3 linked regions of the Schizosaccharomyces pombe genome follow. The gene in region 1 interacts genetically with each later gene. Each region holds a gene or a part of one and is shown on either strand. Other genes may lie near its edges.

Region 1 (3,612 bases):
GCGGAACTCCTCGTAAGGCATTTTCCAATCCAATTGGAACAAATAGTTCCATCCCCCAAATACAGGATAGCGAGGATTTAACTCGATCCATGTCTGGTGAGGCTCAACTCGCATATGAGATGTGGTAATGTTTCCCACCTCATCGGTATAGTAGACATCCTTGGAATTTCTAGGAAGACTATAGACGACTCGATTAATAGCAGTAGAAACTGGATTGTAAAAGTTTCCCATATACCACTTGGCACGATCGAAGTTGGACTTCAGCTTGGCAGCATGGTTTTCAAAAACCACACGCTCCGAGACTTCTAACATTTTTCGGTATTCATGCATATCAATTTGAACATAGAGATCAGCTCCGCGAGGAATAGGTACAGTATGCTCATAGCGAACATAGATTTCACCTAAATCATTGTCCTCCCCGGTGATAGTCTCACGGCTTTCGTAAACCAAAGTATTGCCAACACGATTGGGAAGTTCAGCTCCATCAATATTATACGTAGTATATGTGTCAATTTTAGCAGAAGGGAGTATAAGACGAGTGCGTTGAAGATCAGTAGTGTAGGGACTATCTAAGTAAAGGGTTGTCAGGTAAACCAAATATTGTTCTTCGTCTTGATCCACAGCTGCTGGTAAAGGACGAACACCACCGTCCAAACCTGCCTGTATTAATAAAGTACGAGATTCACCAGGTTTGACAGGAGGTTGTAAAGGAATATCATAAACATTGTTGTTAACTTTTATAGGGTTAGTTCCTTTCTTTTCTTCCTCTTTTATCGATACGGAGAGAGACAAGACACTTTCGCCAGGTGAGGTCTGCTGAAAGTAGCGATATGTATTTTGAGGCTCATCTCCTTCATTTACAATAATTAAAGAAGTGAGAGTTTTGGTATAAGTGGAGCGTAAATCAATCGTACGAATCGCGTTACTATTTCTCCATACCTGCTCAGCTAAACTGAGCCCAGATATGATGGACCACAACAATAGCTTGAGAACTAACATTTCTGAAACCCGCAACCAGTGAAACTTGGAAAGCTCAACACTGTTTTAGAATAGGTAATAAATGAATTTATTACAACCTTGAAAAACGCTGTTTACAGATAACCTTCAAGAGGCTATGCGTTTAAAGAGCGGTAATACGTTCAGGTTAGGTTTGCCAGCCCAAAAACCAACAATATGCACAACGTAGTGTGTATACACTCGTTAATATCTTTAATGACTTGGTGGACTAGTTCGGTATACACATTCCGATTAAAAAAAATTGTTAAGTAAAATTAGATATTCGAATAAATAGTAGTTTCTCCGTTAAATTAATGCTAAAATAATTATGTTCCGTTCTTGAACTTTAAAGAAAATTTTCACAAATAACCAGGCTTTTTCTCTTTGACTACTAAGATCACGAATGAAGATGACGGCGACTTGCTATTTGAGTATTGGTAGTAAAGAACGAAAGTACATGAAGATTAACCCCTACTGCTAATTATTTGTACCTTTTAAAATTTTCTATTGAGAATGCATCAAACTGAAAAACGCTTCTAACGCTTCCGTTTTGGTTCGGTAATAATAAGCTTATGAATAGGCGAGATAACATTACTTAAGGCGTCATAAAGGTTTGCTACTGGTACAATTTTTTCATCAACACTTACTCTACTCTGATATACCAGTGGTGAATTTCTGTGATTCCCATCGTCTATTGCGTATCTTTTTGGATTTTATTTATTCTAAATAAACAAAATGAGTAAGGAAGAGACCCTTTACAGTGTTAAAGTGGATCAGGAGCGTGTTCCTCTTTTCGATGAAGACTTTTATAAAGGCTTTCGTAGCGAATTATCTGTTCGTTTTACGATGGCAGCTTTGGATCCTAGAGCTAAATCAAATGATGCCGTTACAGTAAACGTGATCACTAGGCTTGAGCACCCCGAAGAAGATGGAGAAGAAAGTGACGAAGAACTTTTTCAAGAAGAAAAATTTACCCTATGCACCCTTAAAAAGGGCTCGGTTTACCAGCAACCAATTGACATTATTTTCTCTCCTGGAGAAGAAGTTTTCTTTGAACGAGTTGGTGGTGATATTCCGGTTTATTTGAGCGGAACATGCATAATTACAAACATTCCGGAGGAGGAGGATAGTAGTGACCTCGAGAATGACTTTCTTTATGGAGCAGATGAATTTAGCAGCGATGAAGAAGAAATGGATGATATTTCCGTTACATCAAGCGAAGAAGAAGAGGAAGAAAATGGTGCTCGTATAGAGGAGTTGAACAGTGACGAAGAGGATGCCGAGCAAGCAGAAGAAGAGATTTTAGAAAAGCCTGTTCCAAAGGATGAAGTTGCTGAAAAGCATTCCAAGGATAAGCTTAAAAAGGAAGAGAAAGAAAAGAAAACTGCTGTCGACGTATCAGATTCTGTGAACGGCAAAAAGAGAAAGACCGAACCCGCCGGTGAAGGAGAACAAACTGAGAAGAAATCTAAGTCTACAAAAACTTATCCTAAGCAAGTACTTGAAGGAAACGTTACGGTTCAAGATAAAGTTAAAGGTGACGGACCAGCTGCGAAGCGCAAAAAGCGCGTTTCTATGCGTTACATAGGTCGTCTTACTAACGGAAAGGTATTTGACAAAAACATTACCGGAAAGCCCTTTACTTTTAATCTTGGACTCGAGGAAGTGATAAAAGGGTGGGACGTTGGTATCGTGGGTATGCAAGTAGGTGGAGAACGTACAATTCATATTCCAGCTGCCATGGCCTATGGCTCTAAACGTCTTCCAGGTATCCCAGCCAATTCAGATTTGGTTTTTGACGTAAAGCTTTTAGCGGTTAATTAATTTTGTGTAGTTTGGTTCATAAAAAAATTATGGTTTAGTTGGGTCTGGAAATTACGGAATAGCAAATTTTTTGAATATTATTCGAATTATTTTGAGGTAAAGTAAGCACTCTAGTAGAAATATGTATGTTACTGAGACAACTAATTGGTCGCAGTAAGGTGAGGATCTTGAGCACTCTTTTAAACTGATGATAGAATTAGATGTGTGAGCAATAATGGGCATCAGAATAAATAAAACACTTTTTTTATTAGTCGTTGTCTTGAAACATGAGTGAGGGAAAGCACAATCGCTACTAGTTATCTACGGATATTTGGTGGAGCCACTAGAAAATTTTGTATTTGTGAATTTATTATATGAAGAAGGCTACTAAATACTCTTATTCCCTCAATTTTTTAATTGAGATTTCATAATTGGTTTTCGCGATATCTCTCATGTATTTTATCTACTGCAAGTTGATTTAGAATAAAAAAAGAAATTATACATAGTAGGATGCAATTAACTGGATCGATCTACCCATGGTTTACTGCGTATGCTTTATTGAAATCCACGCTGATGGAACTCATCAATTCGTTTATACCGTACAAATCTCAAACTGGAAAGGCACCAAAGTGTCTGGTTCCTTATTGGCTTTCAATTCGTCTAAGTTTACTTTACTTTAAATTGACAGAGGCGATATCATTTACCGAGAAGTGCGAAAAATATAATATTAGCTTATTTGATTCAACTTTTGTATTTGGCTATATCGTTAACTGCTTTTTTATTATTCATTTAAACACGTTCCTTACATCACAG
Region 2 (4,243 bases), on another chromosome or scaffold:
ACACAAAGAGGAGAGTTTTTCCAATCAATAGTATCATTTTGTTTACGAATGGAAGAGGATGGCGAACCGATCTTTCCCCTTTTGCCAACCCGCTTAAACCTTTTAACTTCTCTCTGTTTCTTTACCTCATCTTTTTTCTCGCTTGATTTATCTGAATTGGACAATTGGGTTTTTCGTCGAATCAGAAAATGGATCAGTACAGGCAGCAGCAAGACTATGTACAATACAGCCCGGTATTCTTCCCAATGCTCCCCGATGTACCCCAAAGAATACCCCATGGCAATGATTTACCACTGGAATTTAGCAAAGAAATAGTATCCTTGGTGGTTGGAAAAAGGATTCTTTGAGGTGTGGCATATGGAAAAGACACAGGCAAATTTCACCAATAAGCGCCAACAGAACTAAGTCCAGCTAGAGAGTACTAAAATGAAGGATGAACTTTTAAATTAATTTAAAATTTTTACTTATTTGTTTATTTTATGATTAATTTTACCTTATTAATATATAAGTGCTTTCATCTAAATGATGGAGTGCTGGCCAAAAAGGTACTTTTTGTAAAAGTCAACATTCTTGAAAATCAAACTATAAGAAAAGCAATATCTCTTAAAATACCTCATGTGTAGTAACATTTAGAAAAATTGCTAGATAGCTAGTGTTAGACGTAGTGAAAATGATACTTGGAGATGAGACACTTTCAAACGATTGAAGAAAGAATCAAGGATGAGGGCTTTGTAATGATTGTTATTTGTGAAAAGTATTCAAAAAAGATTTGGAATGTTTGATGAGAGTTCATTTTTAAAGATTTTACGACATGGGAATATATCAGTAAAACGAAGAATAAAAAGTAAATAATGCAGCTAGCATGCTGCGTCTTAAATAAAGAGCAAAAAAAAAGATATAAAGCAAAAGCGATAAATGAAGAAAGTAAGAGAAAGAAACCAATTCAACTATACCTTTGTAACATCGAAATTCTCCAAGCTTAGCACCTTTGTTATATGCTTGTCCGCAGCTTGTTCTGGAGAAAGAGAAAAAAAGGGAAGAATATTGACATCAGGAACCCACACAACTTTCATGCCTGCCGCCCGGCCTGATTGAACTCCTGTAATGGAATCTTCAAAAACCAAGCAGTTCTCTGGCAGGATTTCTGCCTGGCCTTGAGCCTTGCGCTTGTCGTTGATCATCTTCAAAGCGATGAACCAAATATCTGGGTGAGGTTTGCCTCTACCGACGGGTAATCGAGGGTCATCTCCAGTGATAATGTTTCCATCAAAATGATCAAACAAATGACTCAAATGAGCGGACTTCTTTTCAAAGTTGTGTGTGTCACTGGAAGTGGCTAGTGCTATAGGAATGTTTAGTGATTTCAACTTACTTAACAAATTCATAACGCCAGGTAAAGGCTTTGTATGCCTCCATAGTTCAGCTTGAGTTTCACGTTGTAATGCTATGTATTCTTCGCAGGTCAAATCAATACCCGACCAATCCAAAAAGATTCTGCTGGCCTCCTTTGAAGTTCGGCCTAAAGCATGAATGATTAGAAGGTTGAAAAAAACAACAACAGCTCAAAGCCACTTACCCATCATCTTAGCCTTGACTTCCATGGAGAAGGGGCCTTTGTTATAGCGCTTTAAAATGATATCTAGACGCACCGTTAGCCTAACCAATACCTTTGAACAGAAAGGGAAAAGGAAGAGTAAAACTTACTAGTGCTTTTTGTGTAGATTGACTCTGTATCGACCAACAAGCCCTGTATTCGTTAGATAGAAGGACACTTTATCGCTTTTCAAGTAGTATGCTTTAAGGAATCATCAGGCTAAGCACTTTTAAGTAGAATGAAAAACAAATAAACGATAATAAATATTGTATTTGTTGATCATGGACGCCGTAAATGATCCATATTATTTTACTATGTACGTACGTCCATATCGAAAAGACACGCCTCAGGAATCATCTTTAAAGTAAAGTAAGGGTTTTAATAAAAAGAATGTCTTTGTTTTTCTACGATGAAGAAAGATATTGTTGAAAGGATATATACTATTCGTAACAGAATGAAACCAATTTCGATCAGTATACGGACGAAAGCAGCAATGGGAATGAGATGAATATACGATAACTTATCAAATAATTCAAGTTTAGACAATCACAGTCGTCCTTAATAAATTCTGCTAGAAGTAGTCAAACGTGGAGTTGACAAGTTGCAAGACGAGCCATTGTTTAGGCAAAGGTGAGAAATAGAATATTTGTGGCATTAGGAAAGCTTTTGGACTTGCAAATAGAATTGCTTGAAAATAATGAGTGTAAAGAGAGGTAAAGTTGGCGAATTTGTTGAGTCAGGGATTGAACTTGATTCATCTAAATGATAATGTTATGGTAAGATAAAAAGAAACTAGAAAAAAATAGAAGAAAGTTTATAAAGTGCAATGACATTGAATTTACTCGACTCTCTTCCTATTACACGACAAGCTCAGTTTATGGATGTTTATTTGTCTACAAACAATTCATTCACGTGTGACTTTGAACTTGACCGGAAACATGTTACAGAAGGTGGTTTGAAAGTAAAATTGATACGGGAATGGGTGTCTTATTGAAAAACTACAAAGCTGTACTCGATGACTATGGAATGTCATCAGGTGGATATACAGATAGCTCTTTTTAAATGTCGAGTGAGATATCGGTGGTTTATTTTGAAGAAAATTACTTAAAAAGTGATTAAAGTAATAATAAGTAATGAAAGTCAAATAAAAGGCCTTACGATTATCTGCTCGTCAACTATGGGTATACAGGTGTATCTCACACTATGCTTGAAGATTTCGCTGACGATTATATAGACAATGTCCATAAACAGGTTAAAACCAAGCCTTTTTAATTACGAACTTGACCATTTCTGAAGACTGTAGATACCTTAGAAGCTAATCTCATTTGTATTACTGTAAGAGGCAATTCGAATCGACAAGAGTGTAGGTAGAAGAGTATACCTATCCAAAGAGTATCAGATGCTTTTACCAATTTAAGAGTTTTCCATGGATATGTATTCAATTTTAGGTCCAACTATTTAACACTTGTGCGAACATCGATCATGTCCGATGCAGCAACTTGCTGCTGTCATGTCGCTCAAACCAAACAAAAGAAATGTGCCAATTAACAAAATATTTCCAATACTATACTTGTAACGTTCTAGCATTAATACATACCTTAAGGCACTACTTGCAATCAGCCCAGTCATGTCAATCTCTTCAATATCTTGTTCGGGATCCCGCTTGCGACCAGCGCATTATTTTTCTTAGATTACTGACATTATATATTTCAATTTGGAACAAAAAAACAATCTGATTTCGACCATTTTTTAAAATTTTTCTTTTTCATAAATTTTTTCGACTTTTCCTATACTTTCGATGGTGAAGAATGCATTGAGCACAGTCTGCAGCTTCCATTTTTTTCTTCTGAAATTTTATAGTAAAATCGAAAGTTTTTCATCTGCTTAAGCAATCAATTAAATCTAGACAAACATTGCTAAGTTCTCCGCAAATTCAAAGAAACTTTGGCTGACGTACCTAAAATGCTTAAGTGGAAGTTTCCACGCTACACACAACTTAACCAGAACCTATATCCTTAGGAACACCAAGAAACTCAGAAAAGGTATGTTTGTAGTGTTTTTTAGGAAAAACGAAGTTATTTGTCTGGAAAAAGTATTTACTAACGAGTTTTTGAGGTAGTTTTATCAAAATGTCTTCATTGGAACAATTAAAGGCCACTGGCACTGTTGTCGTCTCCGATACTGGAGATTTTGAATCGATCGCCAAATACAAACCCCAAGATGCCACCACAAACCCTTCTCTCATCTTGGCCGCTTCTAAGAAGCCCCAATATGCTGCTCTCGTCGACGCTGCTGTTGACTATGCCAAGGCAAAGGGTGGTTCCATCAACTCTCAAATTGAGATTGCTTTTGATCGTCTTTTGATCGAATTCGGTACCAAGATCCTCGCTATCGTCCCTGGCCGTGTCTCCACCGAAGTTGATGCTCGTTACTCTTTTGACACCCAAACTACTATCGAGAAGGCTCGTCACCTCATCAAGTTGTACGAAGCCGAGGGCATTGGTCGTGAGCGTGTTCTCATCAAGATTGCCTCCACCTATGAGGGTATCCAAGCTGCTAAGCAACTCGAGGAAGAGGGCATCCACTGCAACTTGACTCTCTTGTTCTCTTTTGTCCAAGCTGTTGCTTGCGCCGAGGCTAACGTTACCT
Region 3 (3,195 bases), on another chromosome or scaffold:
AGTCGTAACGTATTTCACGAAGAATGCGCATACAGTCTTTATGAACAATGGCGAAAACAAAACGCTCAGCCTTCAAGTTCTGGTCTGCAAGAGTTAAATCGAATTGAAAACGGTCAGCAACAGGTAAAACAGAAGACATAACGTTTCCCAGGAGGATTTCAACGATTTGATTAAGAGAGTAGGCTAACAAATCTTGACGAGGAAAAAGCTGAAGTGTTGTATACACATTCTTCACGTTGAGACGTCCAGTAAGATAGGAGCTAAACTCGGTAGGAGAGTCATAAATGATTGGAGAACTGTTAGGACCTGGTCCATATTGTGCAAACTGTTGGCGAAAGCTAGACTGTAAGGAACCATACCAGCGAGAAGCGATTTTTTGGTTTTTCTTCTTTTGCGTGATAAAAGAAAAAACATAAAGGAAAAAACAAGCAAGAATAACAAATTCAAGACGGAAATCTCTCCAATCGACATGCTTGAACATTCCTGGATTCTCCAACTCGGGATTCATATTGTAATCCTCTTCGTATTCATCTTCCTCATCAGCCAGTACTCCTTTAGCTAGTGCAAAAACTAGAAACAAAAGCTTTTTATTAATCATGGTTCCTCCGCTTGTAAATTTACTGACTTTCGTGAAAGAAAAAAGGGCACTGGTTGTACGAAGTGAGATTGAACGTGGTGAAATAAGTAACGAACGAGACAAGCCGGTTCCTAGAGTGGGAAGATTAACTAGTGTATATAGATAGTTTAAAATAAGTCGGTAACCAGAACATGTCGCGATGGTGTAGTTGGGAGCATGACAGACTGAAGATCTGTTGGTCATCGGTTCGATCCCGGTTCGTGACACTTTTTTTGACGTGGAGAAAACACTTTGTACTAGTTATATCCAACATAATTTTGAGGTTTTTTCTTTTTACTTATTTTTATTTTTCTAGTTGCTATATGTGAAGCAAAATTAGATAGCTAACGGATGCTCAAGAATATTGTACTGGCACTTCAGCTTGTTATTGCAAAAGTTACAAAAACAGTCTGCAAAGACAAACAAGCATAGAAGCTCAGTTGGTCTAAATGTATATTACTAGATCGGTTCTGTAATTATTGGTGTTTTATTAGCAATGAATGGTGCTTTCAACTGAATATATCCGACAGAGAAACTATATGGCGTTACAATTTTCAAAGGTAGTAGTTTATCTATTTGGTAAATGATAGTTGTACGAACTGCTACGCATTTACTCAAAATCTTAGTTACATTCATGCGTTCTATATAAAAGAAAGTCATTTTGTACTTGCTTGTTTACGTATACGATCGGTTAATCTCAACAAAGCAAATAAAAGGAAGCTAGTCACCCTGTTGTACTTTATACCTAGGACATATTTTTTTTTTCAAACATGTAACATACCGTTACTGAAGAATGTCATAAGCTTAACGCTAGCTAAATTAAGCTTGTATCAAAGTTGCGAGGGATATTGAGATCTATCGTTATTAGATCATTATAGATAAAAAGATATAAATGAGAAATCCTCCATACCTCAACAATAATTGTTTATTGGTAAAAAAATATTATTCCTATCCACTTTTTGGTTAAGCAGAAAATCTGGCAGAATTTTGTACATGCCGCTTTGCCTATCATTGGCTGCTAAATAAATTCCTTGAGCTCGTTTGTTCGATTATTTACTACTACCACACGATACCCTAACGTGAGATTTTCTCTACTAGCGATATCAAAACTTTCGCAAACTTTTTCCAACTCCCCTCAACACACGATTTTTATTATATAGATTTATTTATCAAGATGTCGGTGAAATACTTTGAACCTGAGGAGATTGTGGAGCACAATAATTCCAAAGACATGTACATGGTCATTAATGGAAAAGTTTACGACGTTAGTAACTTTGCTGATGATCATCCTGGAGGCTTAGATATAATGTTGGACTATGCAGGTAAATAATTCGACAAAACTTTTGTAGAAGTAAACACCATATTATGTTGGAGACTGCTATGCTCAAAAGCGATAGTATACTTTTAATCGCTATCGTTTCATTCATCAGTTCTTCACTTGTGTGCCTTCTTGATTAAAACATTGTATACGGCTTTTTAAACATGTCCACTAACTATTTGTTTTAGGCCAGGACGCCACTAAGGCCTATCAGGACATTGGACACTCTATTGCTGCAGATGAGTTACTAGAAGAGATGTATATTGGTGATTTAAAACCCGGAACTGAGGAGAGACTCAAAGAATTAAAGAAACCTCGTTCATTTGATAATGATACGCCTCCGTAAGAAAATGATTTGTGTACGATGGTTGTTTCATGCTAACAGAACAGATTGCCTCTATTAATCGCATTAATTGTCCTGCCAGCCATAGCAGTAATTGTGTTTGTTAAGCTTAACAAATAAACTTCGAAGGCTTGCCTATTTATTTTCCTAATCTTTATACCTTCTTTTGTTTTTCGCGATGTTAGTATCACTCAATATTATTATGGATAGCAATTGTTTTCAAGGCTTCTAAAGAAACAAAATAAACGTTAACTTAGAAAAATATATTTCTTAAATGTCTTCCTTCAGTAAGAGAGCTCTTAAAAACAATGAGTTCAGCTCGTAACATGTAATTAACTCATGGAGATATTAAACAAACCAAAAAAGTATAACAAAAAGATTTAGCTAATAGTAAAGAGGGAAGTATGTAATCAGAAGTGGAATATAACTAATGGAAAAATTAGTTCTATTGGGCTTATGAAGGACTTCCAGTAATATTCGGTTGGACTTTAGATAAATTGATTACCATCTTTCCTTTGATTTCTTTATCACTCAGCTTAATGTTGTTAATATCATCAATCAAAACACCTAGTTTCCTTATTATAAACTCGGTTTCCTGCTCGGTAGGTTTAGCAACATCGTATTTTGGATCTAAATTCAATGAGTCGATTTGATCTAATACCTCCCTATCGCAATCATTATGTTAATATAGTTTCTACTGTATAAAAAGAATTTATCAAAAGCTTACTCATAAATGTTGTCCCGAGGGTCTCGCTGAGGTGCTTCGGTTCTCAATCGTAAAGAAAAGACGTCAATGAATTTATTTCTATTTTCAGTTAACAAAGAAACAGATACCAAAGGCTTCATACTTTGCGACATCGTAAACCTTAGACTCCCATTCTTCCTCTTCTTCACGTTTTCGTAAACTCATGTCTGCTT

What was found.
Region 2: mutations in ani2 (region 1) and SPOM_SPCC1020.07 together harm fitness less than expected from each alone (positive genetic interaction), as found in Schizosaccharomyces pombe (one large-scale study listed by BioGRID).
Region 3: mutations in ani2 (region 1) and cyb502 together harm fitness more than expected from each alone (negative genetic interaction), as found in Schizosaccharomyces pombe (one large-scale study listed by BioGRID).

The regions. Positions count from the first base shown.
Region 1 is NC_003424.3:4,326,491-4,330,102, reverse strand, and holds ani2 (FKBP-type peptidyl-prolyl cis-trans isomerase), read left to right. Parts: upstream 1-1,634; 5' UTR 1,635-1,731; coding exon 1,732-2,820; 3' UTR 2,821-2,956; downstream 2,957-3,612. Other genes in the region: dolichyl-diphosphooligosaccharide--protein glycosyltransferase Ost1, read right to left, coding at 1-999; SPOM_SPAC27F1.10 (uncharacterized protein), read left to right, coding at 3,310-3,612.
Region 2 is NC_003421.2:769,775-774,017, forward strand, and holds SPOM_SPCC1020.07 (pseudouridine-5'-phosphatase), read right to left. Parts: upstream 2,190-4,243; 5' UTR 1,952-2,189; coding exon 1,919-1,951; exon of another isoform or gene 1,748-1,918; coding exon 1,705-1,747; exon of another isoform or gene 1,640-1,704; coding exon 1,577-1,639; intron 1,520-1,576; coding exon 948-1,519; 3' UTR 501-947; downstream 1-500. Other genes in the region: wybutosine biosynthesis protein Tyw1, read right to left, coding at 1-278; tal1 (transaldolase), read left to right, coding at 3,724-4,243.
Region 3 is NC_003423.3:2,574,024-2,577,218, reverse strand, and holds cyb502 (cytochrome b5), read left to right. Parts: upstream 1-1,753; 5' UTR 1,754-1,790; coding exon 1,791-1,938; exon of another isoform or gene 1,939-2,122; coding exon 2,123-2,276; exon of another isoform or gene 2,277-2,324; coding exon 2,325-2,397; 3' UTR 2,398-2,556; downstream 2,557-3,195. Other genes in the region: SPOM_SPBC2G5.01 (Ca(2+) binding protein), read right to left, coding at 1-598; Ragulator-Rag complex subunit Lam1, read right to left, coding at 2,732-2,942, 3,005-3,082, 3,126-3,195.